Linked DNA regions of Lepisosteus oculatus. The protein of the gene in region 1 purifies or fractionates together with the protein of each later gene. This does not show direct contact. Links are inferred from orthologs where the notes say so. Each region holds a gene or a part of one and is shown on either strand. Other genes may lie near its edges. The genes, in order: jazf1b and nr2c2.

Region 1 (8,432 bases):
TCGCGTACCTCATTTGAGCATCTGGCTCCATTATAGTTTTAACCTTCTGTTCCTGATTCCCTGCCCCGCCGGTCCCGACCCTTGGATGGATCTCCTGGCCAGACTCTACTCTTCCGTTTGGATTCCCCATTTGGACTTTGGCTTTGTTTGTTCGCCCGGACTCACTTCCCCAGGACACCTGCTCACCTCGGACACGCCTCCCTGTATCCTGCATGACTTTCTCCCTAGTGTATCTTCACAATTCCGGATCGCGTCGTCTGCATAGGGCCCGGAAAGAGCTGCTTCATGACAAAGACACCCAGGCAATATATTCAAACCAAAATCCTGCAGTGCCAACCAGCACACCACCATGCTGCCCAAGGAGGGCCCATATAAACCCTAAAGCTTTGCAATACCTCATGAAGGACACAAGATTCCCAGAAAGTCATTATTGTGTTGGTCTAGGACCCATGTCATACCTGTAAAATTCCAGCAGAATAAAAATCTAAATGGAAAATACAGGTGATGCAGTTTGCATTGTTAGGAATCGCGTTATATTGTGGCACAAGAACAAAGAATATAAGGAAGGGTACAAATGAGAGGAGCCATTTGACCCACCTGGCCCATTTGGTAGTTAGTAGTTAATTGATCCAAGGATCTCATCCAGATGTTTTTTTTAAAAGAATCCAGGGTATCAGCTTCAACAACATGTCTGGGTTGTCTGTTGCATTCTCCCATTACCCCTTTACCCCTTAGGTAAAAAAGTGCCTCTTCTTCTCAGTTTTAGAAACACTTCCATGTAATTTCCCCTTGTGCCTCCTGGTTCCTGTTTCCCTTTTAATTCTGAAGAAGTAAGCTGGCTTGACCTTGTCATTGCATTTGAGAGTTTCGAATATAATACTTGCATCAGCTCCTGTCGTAGTCTTCTCTGTTCAAACATCTTCCATTTTCCAAAATCAAATAATAAGCTATTATATTGTTTAATGCACAAAGAGGATAAAAGGCAAACAGATGAGTAAATCGTTCATTCAAAAATAATAACACAAGGAATTCTGGAGCCATAACAATGTCCCTTTTGATATGTTTGAGTGATGTAACAATACAAAAAACTTAAACTAATCACTGATTCTAGACTCTGAAGGAGCAGGTGAGGATAGCAGGGAAGAAACAAAAACGATGGTGTTATTGAGGAATGCATTTGTAAAGGAGCATAAATGTGGTGTGAAGCACTCTGTCTGTCCCTGCCAGCTGCAGATGTCTTAGGCACAAAAGCAGCAATGAAGGCCTTGTTGAATGCTGACATATGCATGAAGGTCAAGGCTTACAACTCTAAAAACTATTTTAAAGAATAACTCTAAAGTATTATTTTCCAGTAATGTTCTCTCTTACATTCTCTCTTTCTTGTTTGAAAGGCCCATTGACTCACACTCTCATGGACTGAAAAGCTTCCATCCAGTGCTGTTGACACAGCATATTGATGGGGACGCAGTCATGGCTGCCAGAGGCTTTTGTGCGACTCCGGTGCTTGCAGAGAAAGGATTTGTGATGAACATAACGTGTGGAGACATGCCTGCTTTACACAGCCTGCGCTTATGCCAGTGTACACAGGTATCCCAATTTTACTTTGCATTCAATCTATAAAACAATTCCCGATTGTAGTTTGGATGTGCATTTTCTCGCTTTATCAACCAGTCAATCAGCACAAAAATGCTTAAACTATTTTAAGTATTTTATTTCAACTATAAGATATTTATTTTTAGCAAGAGAGTAAAAAGTATGAGCTGTGGGTAGAGAGCAGAAAAAATGAGTCTACATACAGTAGGAAAACCTTCATGCTCTTACTGTGCTGAGGCTGGAGTCAGCACTTTTCCCAGTGCCTGAGTCTCTGCTAGAGTGATGTGCAGCAACATGCCTGGCTAGGGCTGGAAGGCTGTCAGTTCATTATCTCTTTATCTTTCACCAGTGACAGCTTTTCTTTTAAACAAGGAACAATTTTAAATAAACAAAGGCATTCCAGAAGCAGAATGACAATAGAGCAGAGAAAATCTGTGCAGTTCTTGAATTTAGGTTGTAGTTTCAAAAAACAATAGATGCAAGATAGGTAGCATACAGATAATAAGTGAAGTAGGCACTGACGTGCCAAGCCACGTAGAACCTTATAAGTGAGCACAAAGTCGACTTGAAACTTGATAGGAAGAAAGTGCAAGGACTCCAGGACAGAAGTACTGTGATCGCTTGCTTGTGACCTGGTCAGGACTCCGGCTGCTGAATACTGGACATGCCTAAGTTTGTTCAGTGTGGATTTCGATACCCCCGCAAGAAGGATGTTGTGGTAATACATTCTAGAGAAGACAAATGTGTTGACCAGCTTTTCAACAACAGTCAGAGTCAACATAGGATGTAGTCTGGCAATTTTTCTGAGATGGAAGAATGATGTTTTTACAGTGTTCTCCTCATGAGGGTCAAAAGTGATGCCAGGATCAAATATCACCTCTAAAGTATTTATTTTGATTGACATTCAAGCACAGTGCCGTCCACAGACAGCATTCCTGCATTGGTGTTATGTAGGTGATGAGAGATGCCATGCTGTGAAGCATGACCTTATCCTTGTTGCAGTTTAAATGAAGGACGTTTTGAGTCATCCAGGTTTTTATATCAGAGATACAATTAGAAAGTGCAGAAAAATCTATTTCAGGTTTCAGGTGTCAGGTTTAGTATGGACATAGATTTGAGTATCATTAGCATAGAAATGATCATTCAGATCAAGTAATTTTTCTGACAAAGTGGGAACATGTAGATGCTGAAAGGCAGGGAACCCAGTATCGAGCCCTGAGGAACACCAGATTCAATGAGGCCAAAACCCCAAAAGAAACAAAGTGTCGGTGACCAGTAAAATAAGAGTTGAACCATTTAAAATCAACGTGAGAAACGCCAAACTCATTCTCAAGATGGGACAGTGTCATTATCGATCCTACACTGAACTCACTTCTGAACTTGCCTTACTTCAAATGATATTAAATGAATAAGTGATTAATTACTACTTGCACTTTCGCAGCTGCTTTCAAGCAGACATATTAGTTTGGCAAAAATACAAACATTGTATTATTTACATTATACCCATATTTTATTGACAGAATACATCTTGTATCTGCCTGACACCCTTAGTTTTGCTTTATTACCACTTTCACCATTTCTCTTTTTTACTCAATTCACTGGAGAGTGAGGGGTGTCAGTGCCTGGTTATGTTCCACTCTGGGCCTTTGCAGTCTGGCTGACACAAGGGTTCCCCTGGTTTGAGCTGGTAAGGTACCTTTTCACCTGCTGTGTGGGGGCTCCAGTGGTGAGAGTGGATACTGTGGGGCTTCAGAGGCGAATCCTATCCCATGTGTAAAGTTAAAGTGATAAACACAGTGAATTGCTGTGTTAATGATCTTAACAGGAGCTCTCCTTCTCCTGCTCTGTGTACCGAGGAGCTAATAGAGTAGTGTGAAACAGGTTTGCTTAAATACCCCAGTGTCACTGGTCTTTGAAGGAGAGCCCCTGGATCACACAGGAGCACTGTGGACCAACTGGCAGAGAGGTCTGGGTATGAATTAATACGACATGAGCAGAAGCTTCTACTCTTCTGCACAGATCGCTGTTCAACATGTATGTTTCATGCATTTCTAAATATATGATTATGTTTTTTTTTAGCTTTTTCTAATTGCTTGGGCGTGTTTATTTTAACTACTGTAAAACAGACTTAAAAAAGTTTACTTACTTTGTTTTTTAATTTTTAATTTTAAATAAATGTAACATCATGATGACTCAGATGTTTGGTTATGATGCTTGCCTCCTTGAAATGAGTGCCTGATTCATGCATTTACAGTATCATGGCTTCAGTTCTTCAACTCTTTACTCTGTGGGCTCCCTAACTCTCTTATCAAACAAGTTGTAAAATTTTCAAAACTCTGCTGCAAGACTACTTACTCACACCAGACACTGGCAGCATATCACTCCTATAGTTACGTCTCTACAATGGTTGCCTATAAAGTCACATATTCAATATAAGATCTTGATACTGACTTTCAAGCCTCTAAACAATCTGGCTCCATCATACATGGCTGAACTCCTCTGTGTTTACACTCCGACCATAGGCTCTGGTAAGCTGGGGCCGGTCCTCTGCTCACAGTCCCCAGGTTTAAACCACGGACCCTGGGTGACCGAGCCCTCTCCGCCGCTGCTCCAGTGTTGTGGAATGAGCTTCCTCAGACTTTACGAGAGACAACTTTTTAAACTCTCTTTAAATCTAAACTTAAAATATGTTTCTACAAAGGTCTATTCTGACTGCCTACAGTCAATCTGTAAAAACCTGTATGCTCTGTTTCTCTTTCACTTAATTTTATTGTAATTTATTGTTCAAGTTTTTAACTTTATTGTTGATTATTTATTAAGTTAAAAATTATTATTCTTACTACTGGAGTACTTGGACATAATATATTGCATACGCCATGGACACATAGCAGCTCTATTCATATTGAGTTGTATTAAATTTCTATTACATTACTATCTATTATCATGTAACCTTATTTTTGTAACCTTAATTTTGTGATTTTTGTGATCTTTGTGAGCTCACAGAAAAGACATTTCATTGGCAGCAACTACTGCTGCACGCTGTACTGTTATGCATTTGATAAATAAACTTTGATTTGATATTATTATTATTATTATTATTATTATTATTATTAACACAATCCAGTGGTAGCTCGGGTTTAGCGGGTGTTACAGTCTTATACCAGGAAGGAAGGAGATACTGTATCGAGTATAGACGATGCATGTAGATATGTATTGTTTACACACGTGTTGGAAGTACTTTGTGACTATGATTTGAACAGATAACGTGTTTATAGAACCGGCGGCACTTGCAGTTGTAGACGTCCAAGAGCGGTGCGAGACGTTCCGCATTTTATTTCTTTCATACTGAATTTTGTTTCTGGCGAACACTTAGAAGCCGCTACGGGGTGAAACAGACCAGGATCTGGCAGTGCCGAGAGGAAGACGGCCCTTTAACTGAACAGAGCAGTGCCCGAGTGAGGAGGGGGGAGAGGGGGCAGTGTTGTGGGGGCGCTGCAACAGGTAAGCATGACGTCACCCGCAGCCCTGCTGCTGTGGTCCCTCCCCCGCCAGCCGCTGCCTCCTCTTCCCCGCCCGCCGCCGCTCCAGCTGCCGCCGCTGCCTGGCTGCCGGTGCCTGCCCCTTCCCCGCCGCCCGGGCTGAGCCGCACTCCATGTAACACCATGACAGGCATCGCCGCCGCCTCCTTCTTCTCCAACACCTGCAGGTTCGGGGGCTGCGGACTCCACTTCTCCACCCTGGCCGAGCTCATCGAGCACATCGAGGACAACCACATCGGTAAGCGGCGCCCAGGCGCGTTTCCGAGGCGCCTCAGCCGCCGCTGCTCTCGGGGCAATGGCAGCCATGCTCTTCCTGCGTCCTGTCAGCGCGGTTGCTAGGTGTGGTGGTGATGGGGGCACCGGGCTTCCCCACTTTTATATTTTCAAGCCGCCGCGTTCGAGTTTGGGGGGATTTCGCGTTTGCACTGTCGAGAAGAGCCCCGGGCGGGTGTCGGGCTGCCGGCGATGCAATGCATGTCGGCGCTTTGCAGGCGGAGACGTCCTGCGAGCCCGAGTGATTGTCATGTGCAGTGTTTACAGTTAGGCCCAGCTGCGGCGCCGGGCTCTCGCGGAGCGGGGTGCAGCTAGCAGGCGCAATGGCAGGGGCAGAAAGCGACACGACGCGCATAACGTGTTGTCCGTGTGCGCAAGGAAAGGCGTCAGGGAAAGACGTTTTACCGAGTGGAGCTACGCATTTCTGCAGCGCCCGTGCTCAGTTAACGCGGAACAGCTGGATTTGGGTTGCAAAGGCACTGCCCTGCGCAGAGTAACGGGAGTCGGTCTGCACGATTCCCCCGAGTTACAGCGGCTCTCGGGGTGAGCTAGATGCATTAATGCGAGTGCTTCACTGCTGTACGTCATCGTGCTTGGCTCGTTTTGTTACGTGGGTGTCGCCAGCTGTGCTTGCATGTGTTTTAACTATTGAGCCGATTCCGTTGTATACTCGCACCGGAAGCCGGTAGTCACGGACAGTGTTGCCGCAGCTTCTGAGTTCTCAGTTCAGGGGTTTGTGCTCTTGTGCTGAGCTTTGTCATCGCCCAGGACAGGTCCACATACCCGTGAGCCGCCGCCTGCAAGCAGGCCGAGATGCAGATGTCCTCCGCCTGTAGCCTGTATTCGTGTAGAGACCTTTCGCATTGCTCGAATATGACTGTTTCTTGAAAATATATGGATATATTTACATTTACAACATACGTTCGTGCGATACAATAAAAAATGACAATCTCATATATACGTGTTCGGAGATTGGTTAAGGTTATCATCGTTTGTACAGTTTGTGAATTTTAAGCCCTGTTTGGCATAGACTCTATCTAATATTAAAATATCAGGCTTTCATAGAAAGGTGAACTTACTTCGAAAGTAACCGAGGGTGCATGCTTCACATGTTTTTAGTGCGTACCGGCTAACGTGTGAGCCCGGTGCTTGAGAACTCTTACATGAGTGTTTTTAGATGCTGTTCCTCTCCTCAGCTCAACAGAGGTAGTGGGACTCCTGTGTCAACAGCCCTTTGAACACTTCTTACCGCGATGGTGGTCTTGTACTTAAGGTCAGGGTTGTCTTGTACTTAAGGTTGACAGCAGCAAATCGGAGGAGCAGACTTGTCACTCTGTGATTTAGTGCTTCTTGTTTGTCTTTTTATAAGCTTTTTCTAAGCTTTCAGTTATTATTTGCATGAAGGCGGGCGATGCATCAGACCGGACTTAATAATTGCTACTAAAAACAAGATTGTCTGTTAAAGGTCACTTTTCTGACTGCCGGCATTGATATATTTATATATTGGTTGATAAGAGAGAGTAAGATTTGTATTAGTGGAACATGCTTTTAACTGTCAGGAAGTAATTACGCTAGACATTGCCTGAGCAAGACGTGTGAAACACTGTTTTCTAGTTGTAATCAGTTTGTGGTATGTTCCACACCTTCAGTGTATTGTGAAGGAAGTGTAACACACAGTACCGTGTGGCCCTTGGTGTGTTTCTTCTGTCCCTTCTGTCTGAGCCTCCTGTTCTGTCCCCCGCTGGTCTGATAAAGAAGTCTGTATAGTACAGACCCAGACTTGCAAGCAGAGCCCTTTGTTATCCTGGAGTTTGTTGCTGGAAGTCCTTTTGTAAAAGGCTCAATTGAATGAAGACTTGTATGGTCTTACTGTGTGTAAATAACATTTATTTTGTCTCTTAGGCACTAGGCTGTACAGCGTGGGTGTCTGCTCATTGTTTCAGGTTGCAAAGCCTATACAAATACTTCACTTTAGCTTTTTGTTATGTTTTTGTCTGGTGTTGTAGACACCTGTTTATTTTGGCTTGTTATAGATGCTTTGCACTGCCTCAGAGCAGAATGGGGTTTTATGGGCACGCTTAAAAAGGTCTTCCCCAGAGGCAGAGTGCTCTTTTAACATAACCCTTCCTTAACCAGTGGTGCTGTGTATTTACAGGCCATGGCCGTTAAAGTGTCCCAGCTTTGCAGACTGTGTAAAAGATATCTTGTCATTCACAGTTGCAGCTCAGTATGCTCAACTGTTGAGACTTCTGATTAACAAGCCAAGACTACCCAAGATAAGAGAAAGTCTCTTCCCCCCTTTTGTCAACCATTCTATTTCAAGTAATCTCAATAAAATTAATGCTTTAAAATCAATGTGTATGTGATATGGGGAATATGAGTATTTTAAAGTGGTAAAAATAGGTCGGCATTCCTTTACTGACGACTTTGTGTTAGACCGAGTTTTAGATTGGACTAGTCTGTGCCTTTATTTGTGACATTGTGTGGTTGATGCACCCACAACTGTCAAAATTGTCTCCAGGTTTGTTAATGATAAAGTAACACAGATACTCAGATTATCACCGGTGAACAAAACTGAGCCTGTGGCTCAGGTCTGGTCTGTGCTTCACTAAACTGAGGAATTGGGACTTAAAAATCATGTTAGCTACCATATCTATTAAGGCAAGGTGTCTGCAGTCAGTTGAGAATATTGCAAATCTATTGACTCCTTACACACTGCACCACAGTGATTGTTGAAGTCTAGGGGGGCTACAGGGATAAACAGAACCTAAATATAGTAAATGTGTACACATACTGTATAGTTCACAGTGCCTATAGAAAGTCTACACACACTTTCCAAAGTAACACGTTTTGTGGTCTAACAGCCTGAAATCAACACACAATAAATCACATTGTAATACACAACGTCCAGGTGAAAAACAAATGTTCAAATATTCTGAAAAGAAATTACAAATGAAAACCTAGAGAAATGGGTTGGATAATTGCATAAGTGCACACACCCTTAGTAATAGCAATTGTAAATTAGCT
Region 2 (8,047 bases), on another chromosome or scaffold:
ACAAGTTGTATTCAAACACCAGATTCAAGATAAGAAACACGGGTTTGCTGTCACTGTCACTCCTGATGCAGCATGTAGATCAGCGCATTCCTAATCTACCATCACAATATGACTTAGACGTCTGGGCAAATTTAAAATTTCACAACCTGGACAACATGGAAGAGACAATGCAACAGTATCTAATTCAAGTGATGTGCTTAAAATATATGTATTGCTTGTGAAATCTGGTAACTAAACATTAACTGATGCGTTAATGTTGTGCTTTGCGTGACTCCACAAAACAACTTTGCAGGAGCCGTAATATCTAGCTTAACTGTAGTAAGCTCATCTGCCCACATAGATCATACCAAGACATGATTCAGATTTGGCAGCGGTGTTGTATTGGTAGACAGTTTTTAATAAGATGTATGGGAGACCTAAACAAAATGCCACAGCACCACTATGCATTGTGAATATCCATCCTAATGAAGCCCAAGGTGTTTCAACTTGTACTGTATCATCTGTCACTCACCTCAGCCACCTGCTCTGTGTCCACTATCTGCTGAGCTAGCACCTCCATATTGGTTGCCATGGCGATGCAAGATCATTAGCGAAACCTGTTTGGAAAGAAGCCAGCAGCTTCTATCAGCCAAAGCAAAATTATGCTGGTATGGTTCTTCTTTACAGTATCCTACAACACTTTCATTGGTCAAAAGTAAGAATTAACCACAGTATTTAGAAACCCTAGATGGAAGATCTAAATGCAGGAATTAAAGTCTACGGACCTTCTTTAAACTCTCTAATCGATTCCTCCACTGTGCTACACTGAAGAACTTTAAAGTTATTTTTATTATTAATTTGGCTGATTCTTGTATCAGTTTTTAACCAAATTTTGGTACCATGTATACAGATGAGTGGTTTTGTTGAAATCATGTGGGTAAAGCTCAAGGATTAAGTGGCAGTGCCCTCCCCACCTGTTATTTGAATTCATGGCTTGACCACAAAACGTTGTTCATTTCACTGTATAGTCACTAGCATTCACAACAGCAAGAAATCATTGCAATGCATTTTAATAATGAATGCAATGATGTATTATGCATATGAGGCCTTGGATTATGCAAAGTCATTTTCATTTGGCTGCTTTCTGTATGGTATTCCTCCATCACAGCCTTCTATCCAGCTTTGTACTTCTGCTGCCAAAGCTTAGTGTCTGTACCCAGTTCTGCAACTGTCTACTAGTTGTCTATAGTATTTTCCATTACTTCTCGCACTACTTCAGTAATTCCTGTGGATCGACCTTGTCCTTCCGTTTGTCAGCTCTGATTTCTTTTCACAACGTCGTATAGTATTCCCCCATCTGTACTATTCTGCACACTGCTAATTTCATTAACATCTCTTCTGACGGCTGTCTTCTTCACAGAATCCTCTTATAGAGGGTTCAGTCAATAAAATGTAATTTGCATATGAAATTCGGATCTGACCTCACGCAAGGCTGACAGATTTCTTGATTAGTGGTTAAAAAAAAAAGACCAGAGGAAAAAATTAATTATCAGCTCCTCTCACGAATAAAACATCTTTAGTATCACTAAAGGCATTAGATCTGTCAGGAGGTGTGGCAGCTTATTATGCCATATCCACAATTTGACACAAGCTTGTTCTGGTTAAGCTCATGATACTTTTGCATAGTTTTTATCTTAAAAATAGGATTCAGTCCTGTTTTTTTTGCTCCCTCACTATAGCTGTGTGATTGTACTGTCTGTATAGCTCTAAATCAATAGCAGATGAGTGTATGTTAATTCACAGATACAGACCTATATATTTACAGTGAACAATAGTATAGTGATGTGTTATATGACTTATCATAGACTGCAGGGTCAAAAGAACCATAAACCAGTCTCTGCTCTGCTTTGATATTACACATTTTACAATGAAAATATATGAAGTGTTTAAACATATATAACGGGCTATATCCTGTTAGACTGCAAAGAAAACAGAAAGTCTTGATATAACGAAGTGCAAAACGAATTATATCATAGGGCAAGAGTTTCACACTTCAGTGCTGCAAATAAACCAAGCAGCCTCTCACCTTACAGTTGATCAAGATGGCAACATATGTAAGATGCCACAGCTTTCATTAATACATTATTCTAGGGGGAAACTGAAAAAGAAATAGGCCAAATGGTTCTCGTGGGTCTTAAACATCAAGTTCTTTTGCTCATCAAAATAAAAATACATCTACTCACCGAGATGCGTGACAATAAATTACTGTAAATTGTTTTCTCGTTCTCTTTAATGCACACTCATTTGTAACAGACTGGACATAGTACATGTAATAGAAAAGAGCATCGGCAGTCAAACGGGTCGATTTCTTTTGTTTCCCAAAAGAGGGATGATTTTACTTCATCACACACAATTGTGTTGTTTCTAATTCAAGAGCATTTTTTTTTTATCTGTACACATCAAACCTAACGATTTCGCTAACGGGGATCAGAATCATAATTCAAACTTGGCGTACAACTTTGCCCTGTCAGATTACTCCACCGATTCACTTAATAACTGCTCGAGTCTCTCTTCTGAAAAACAAAATGCGGTTTCAATTGCAGCACAAGTGACATGCAATAGAATCTGATAAATTATTCGTCAAAACGAATTCTTCTGCACGGGAGCAGCAAAATACATATTTTCGAAAATTGGGAGGGGTCAATACAGCCACACTCGGTCCTACACTGCGTTATTACGGCCTCTGTCATTGGTGTTTTAAGCTTTCATAGCCACCATACAAGCGTTATGCGATTGGTGGGATGCATGGACTGCTTCAACAATCTGTCCCTGCCGAGTTTAAATCGCATGCAAAGACAAAAAAAAAAAAGAACAAAATGGAGAATCTGGCACAACGCCAAGTCGCGCCGAGCAGCCATTGAAGTGTGCATTTTAAAAATGCGTGTAAAAATCACAAGACGCCCGTGGTCCTACGTGTCGTTTTTCGTGAGAAAAGCCTGGCAGACAGTGGCTTGCGTCCGCCTCTGTTTATGCATACAACCTCTGCAAACCAGCCCCCCTGTCCCCGGGATGGCAAAGGTAAAAGGGTCGGGTTCAGATGCGTCTTAAACCAAACGCAGCCCGACTCTCCCGCCTGCCTTCGTTTCGCGTACTAAAACGCGTTTTCGTGGGTTTGTCCCATGAACTCCTTCCCAAATCTCCAATTTAAGTGTTTCAACTAAAATCTGACCGGACAGCAGTTTATAAAACCTTAACGACCGGACCTGGCGCAGAGCTTCCCGGAGCTGGGGGACTACTAAAAGTGAAATTAACCACCTTTCGCCGCGACGCGTTTCAATATACCATTAAACGGGCATGAAAGTGATGAGAAGTCTTACCTCCTGGGGGGAAACAGCGTTGTTTTTAGTTCTCAGGTTTTTAAAAAATTATTTGTTATTGTTTTTCTTCTGTGAAAGGTCATAGTTCGTGACCCCGTTCCGCCAGCGTGCCGGGAGTTTTTTCTTCTTCCTCCTCCAGCGCTCTTCTCCTTCCTCGCTCACCGAGCAGCGAGAGCCAGACAGCGCTGACGTCAGCCTGTCTGCCACGGGTGGGCCGCCTCTGATTGGCCGCGACCTATTCGTCTATGTCTTTCTTTTCATTCTTTATGATGCAAGTTTTTTTTTTTCCTATGTGTGTGTGGAAGGACGCGAGAGTCAGTGGATATTGTCTTTGCGTTTGGGAGTTCTAGAAGGACCTAGTGAGAGTAAAAAAAAAAACAGGCGTTGACTAGCAAAAATATCAAGGTCAAGAGAGAGCCCACAACGAGAAGGAGGATCTGGAAAAGCGGTTGTGTGATGTGCATAGAGGACACATCTATTTTTCGCAGTACTTCTCCATGACAGAACTGATGACAAAACGGGGGGAAAAAGCAGAAGCATCCCAAGGCAAAGAATTCCCCAAATCCCACAGCCTCGTGGTATTTTTTTTTACCATGTCAGATTAAAACTCACTTAACCATGAAGGAATTTTACATTTCTTTTTTAGAGATCATTTTTATAAAATAAATTGTCACACTTCACGATGTAATTAAATGAGATTTTAAGATCTCAATAAGATGTCTTATTATTTCAGTAGTTTTTGCTGTTTGTGATTGTAAACTATTTTGATCTTACCCTGGTGCCCCCCAAAAATAACTATGCACAACAAATGAACATCACTATTAAAATAATTTAATTTGCTAGTGGTAGCTAGAAAAGTGGAAAGGTTAACACACACATGAGCATGTTAGCAACCCTTTTTGATTAACTCCTAAATACTGTACATTACACCGATAGAAAATGTCACTGAAAGTGGAGAGAATGTGATACAAACATTAACTTGGAGTGAAACATGTAACAGCTTGAATTAAAAATAAGTTTAGAGGGAACATTAAATGGAACAGCAATTAAATGTTCAATAATTGCTCAGTCACATAGTGGGTTGCAGTAACCCAGAGCCTACTCCATCAAATGTGGGCTCAAGGCAGGATACACCCTAGACAGTGTGCCAATCCATTGAAGGCAACAGCCACAGATGGGCACAATTTAGAGATGTCAGTTAACCTAGCCACTAAATCTCTGAATTGTGGGAGGAAACCAGAAATAAATCCACACAGCCATGAGGAGAATGTGCAAATGCCATACAGAAAGGGACAGAATCGAACCCGGGGCTTAACATATGTGAGGTAGGTTTGCGACTGTACCTGTATTGCAGCTTGTCCAGGGATGACCCTCCCAGACAAAAGATAATGAGCTCTGCCCTTAGCAAGGAGTGGGTCATATCAATTTCAGGGAGGAAATGGTTAAGGAGGATGATTCTTTTTACTTAGCACAAAAGTGTGAAAGTGAATATACAGAGGAAGTAAATGCACAGCAAAAACATCTATTGAAGACATCACTGGGAGGTTTAATTTAATAACTTACAAAAAGTAATTATGTTCCTGGGAAGTGAGGAATCAGTGTGTTATTTTCTCAGTCAGAAATAAATGTCTTGTTTTTAGCCCTGAGCATTAAAACTTAGTTTTCAGTTTCTTTCTTTCCTCTTGTGAAGCTGGGTGTTAATGAAGCAAGATCTGTGTGTTACAAAGAGCAGTTTCATACAGTACCTTCATAATTGCCTCATTGCAAAATGGATTGTAGGATCCTACCAGAGAAATATGCTAGGAATATCTCAGATAAGAGACATAGAAAGATTCATTAGTTACAGAATAATAATAATAACAATAATAATAATAATAATAATAATAATAAGGATTGCAAGAAAAAAAAAGTAACGGCCTTTAATAGTGTAGTACTTCAGTCAACCAACCATTTAATTAGTGATTTCTGTTCAAAAGCCAGAAAGTGCATCGCAGTATATTTTGAGTCCAAGTAATACATGTGCCCTTTTCATTACACAGACACCAAATTATAAAGAAAGGAGGTGTAACATTGATAGAAAAATCCTCTGCTGTTCCATTTAAGTGTATTTTCCTATTAATGCTGCAGTAAAATCCTGGGTAGGCCAATTAGCGTCTCAATATTGTCCCTGTGTTCTTGGGAGTCTGTGTCCTTTGATGGACTGGCATCCCGTCAAGGATGTAGTCCCGCCCAGTACTCTGTGCTTCTGGGATAGGCTCCAGGTTGCCATGACACTTACCAGCAATAAGCGGCTTTATGATAATGGATGGGTGGATGAGTAGATGAAGCTATTCATCCATCACAATGTATACTATGGAAATACAAAATGAGATCTAGATAAGATTTTAATGTATGTTATGTTGGAGTGAAATGGATACCCCTTTTCAACTGCACTAAAGTGACCTAAGCAAAAAAGATGTTGGGCTCTCATTTTTATCTGCAAGGATTTATCTGGACATGAAAAAAATGGTGGACATCAATCATTCACGTGCTATTGCATCATTCTGCTATTCACAACTGAGAGTTGTTTTTCTGAAAAAAAAAGACAGTATACATTATTTTATTTTCTTTTACTTTACTACCCCCCCCCCCCCCCCACACACACAGACAATTTTAGACAAAACTCCATTATTTAATTATTTTTACAACAAAATATTTTCATGTTTCTCTGTAATACTCATTGATTCTTTACCAGATCTCAGTACATTAGCATTGACTGAAACAAGGGTTCAGAAAATCTGCACAAAATTAATAATTACATTCCTTGTTTTCATATCTGTCTTTGTCAATGCAAATAAAGCAAAATTATTATTTTTTTTAGTTTAAAACTCAATATATGCAAGGCCATTTTAAAAGTTAAGTACATAACACTAAAGAGACAACATCACAAATACAGAAAAACTGCATTTGTCTGTATTCTCCAAGCATACATCCTGTGCTTTATCATTTCTTAAATAAACATTCCCATACTGGCTGAGATCAGAGATTTACATGCCTGACCTGTTTTGGCACTTGGTTTATATCATAAAAATATAAATCTTAATATAGTCTTCAAATCTGCTTATGCTAAATGGTGCACTTGTCTTCAAAAGGAATCATGATAGCATTACAAAGTCACCAACAGAATTCCTTCAGAGCGAATTGAATATATTAGTTGGAGAAAACTCTTCTGTTAACAACAGAATTCAATGGCTTCCTATATTTCTGTACTACAGCTTTGCTTTTAGGTGGCTAAAGATGGTTTTTCCTAGCTATTTCTAAAATAAGTTTCTATTAATAAAAAAATCAACTGTGGAAGGTAGGTCAGTTATCTCTTTTCTATTTAGAACACACATTTTGAAAAAAGCTTTTGAGGGTATGGAATTTTGTACAAGCACAGGACAGCATTATGATGAGAAGAACAAAAAATGTACAGCGTTCTGCTTCACTTTTTGTGAATTTGTAACACCCCTTGTAATCAGATGAAATCAATATTTAAAAAAGCCTTAAACCTAGTACAAGATAGTGGGACTGAGGGTTGCCAATAAATGAAAGGAAGAAGCCTCTAGCAAACTAAACCCAAGATGAATAGAATACATTTGATTTAATATGACCCTTAGTCTGAATTAACACTTTATCACCTTACATCTTTCTTTTAGCCATTTTCCAAGAGAGAAACATTAGTCCATTGCTTTAATATCATGTTAACAAGTAAATGTGATAACAATGAATGGGCAACACTTCACTTCTCAGACTTATTTACTCCCCACTTCAGCTAATATACTATACATTCCAGCATCAGGCAGGCAAGTAGCAGTGAGGTCTTATAAGGTAACCAAATCAAATCACTTCTGCGCAACAGCTATTGCACTTCTTTTTGAAAATAGGTAGATTTACTGAATGACAGCAACACACGGAGTGAGCAAATTAAATTTACATTTGTAAGGCATTTTCTCCACTTGCTAAGTAATACATGGCAAATTTTGCACAGTGAGTCTCCTTGGCAACCAGTCTTATGGAGTCGCATTTATGTTGGATGTGACGGCTCTTTTGTGCCAATAAATGAAACTGTCTTGATTGGCAGGCTGGTAAATGTTTTTTATTGTCCAACGCCTCCAGCAGGTGTAGCCTACTGTTAGTGAATGTACACTAGATACAGACATCAGCCTTTACATTTTTTTTTCATATATATCAAGAATCAGCTCTGTTGTCTTCAAAGTGCATGGCACAAAACTACATGGCATGCAAAGATATAGAAGTATTTTATAACTCTGTGTATCGAGTCTTGCCCACAGATTAAGCTTAAAAGGGTACTTTTCATTACACTATCCAAATGCTTTCTCTGTTGTGTGAGCTTCTTTCCCTCATTGGGATAATGCATCTTTATATGTGGAAAACACGGTTTAAGAAGGATGTTGAGATTTGGGGAAAAAAAAGATATTATAATATGGAATTTGGGGATTTTTTTCTTACTAAACAAAATAGTAGCACTCACACCTCTTCTTGTTACACCAGCAAAAGACAAAAAAACTACAACTAATTTCATCAGAGGTTGGATTGTGCCTAATATTCATTTAATCCACCTATGACCTGTTAGAAATATCATCTTAACTATCAGGAATAGGGGTTTAAATAAGCAATAATTATCAATAAATGATTTAGTTTTATTTTAG

The links.
Region 2: the proteins of jazf1b (region 1) and nr2c2 purify together in Homo sapiens (affinity purification with mass spectrometry; 4 studies listed by BioGRID and IntAct, with this or other methods). This does not show direct contact. The link is inferred for Lepisosteus oculatus from reciprocal best matches to the Homo sapiens genes JAZF1 and NR2C2.

What each region holds. Positions count from the first base shown.
Region 1 is NC_090705.1:285,546-293,977, forward strand, and holds the start of jazf1b (juxtaposed with another zinc finger protein 1b), read left to right. Parts: upstream 1-4,995; 5' UTR 4,996-5,255; coding exon 5,256-5,370; intron 5,371-8,432. UniProt on the Homo sapiens protein: Acts as a transcriptional corepressor of orphan nuclear receptor NR2C2. Inhibits expression of the gluconeogenesis enzyme PCK2 through inhibition of NR2C2 activity.
Region 2 is NC_090699.1:55,375,675-55,383,721, reverse strand, and holds the start of nr2c2 (nuclear receptor subfamily 2 group C member 2), read right to left. Parts: upstream 3,560-8,047; 5' UTR 3,357-3,559; intron 3,236-3,356; exon of another isoform or gene 2,223-3,235; intron 597-2,222; 5' UTR 572-596; coding exon 512-571; intron 1-511. UniProt on the Homo sapiens protein: Orphan nuclear receptor that can act as a repressor or activator of transcription.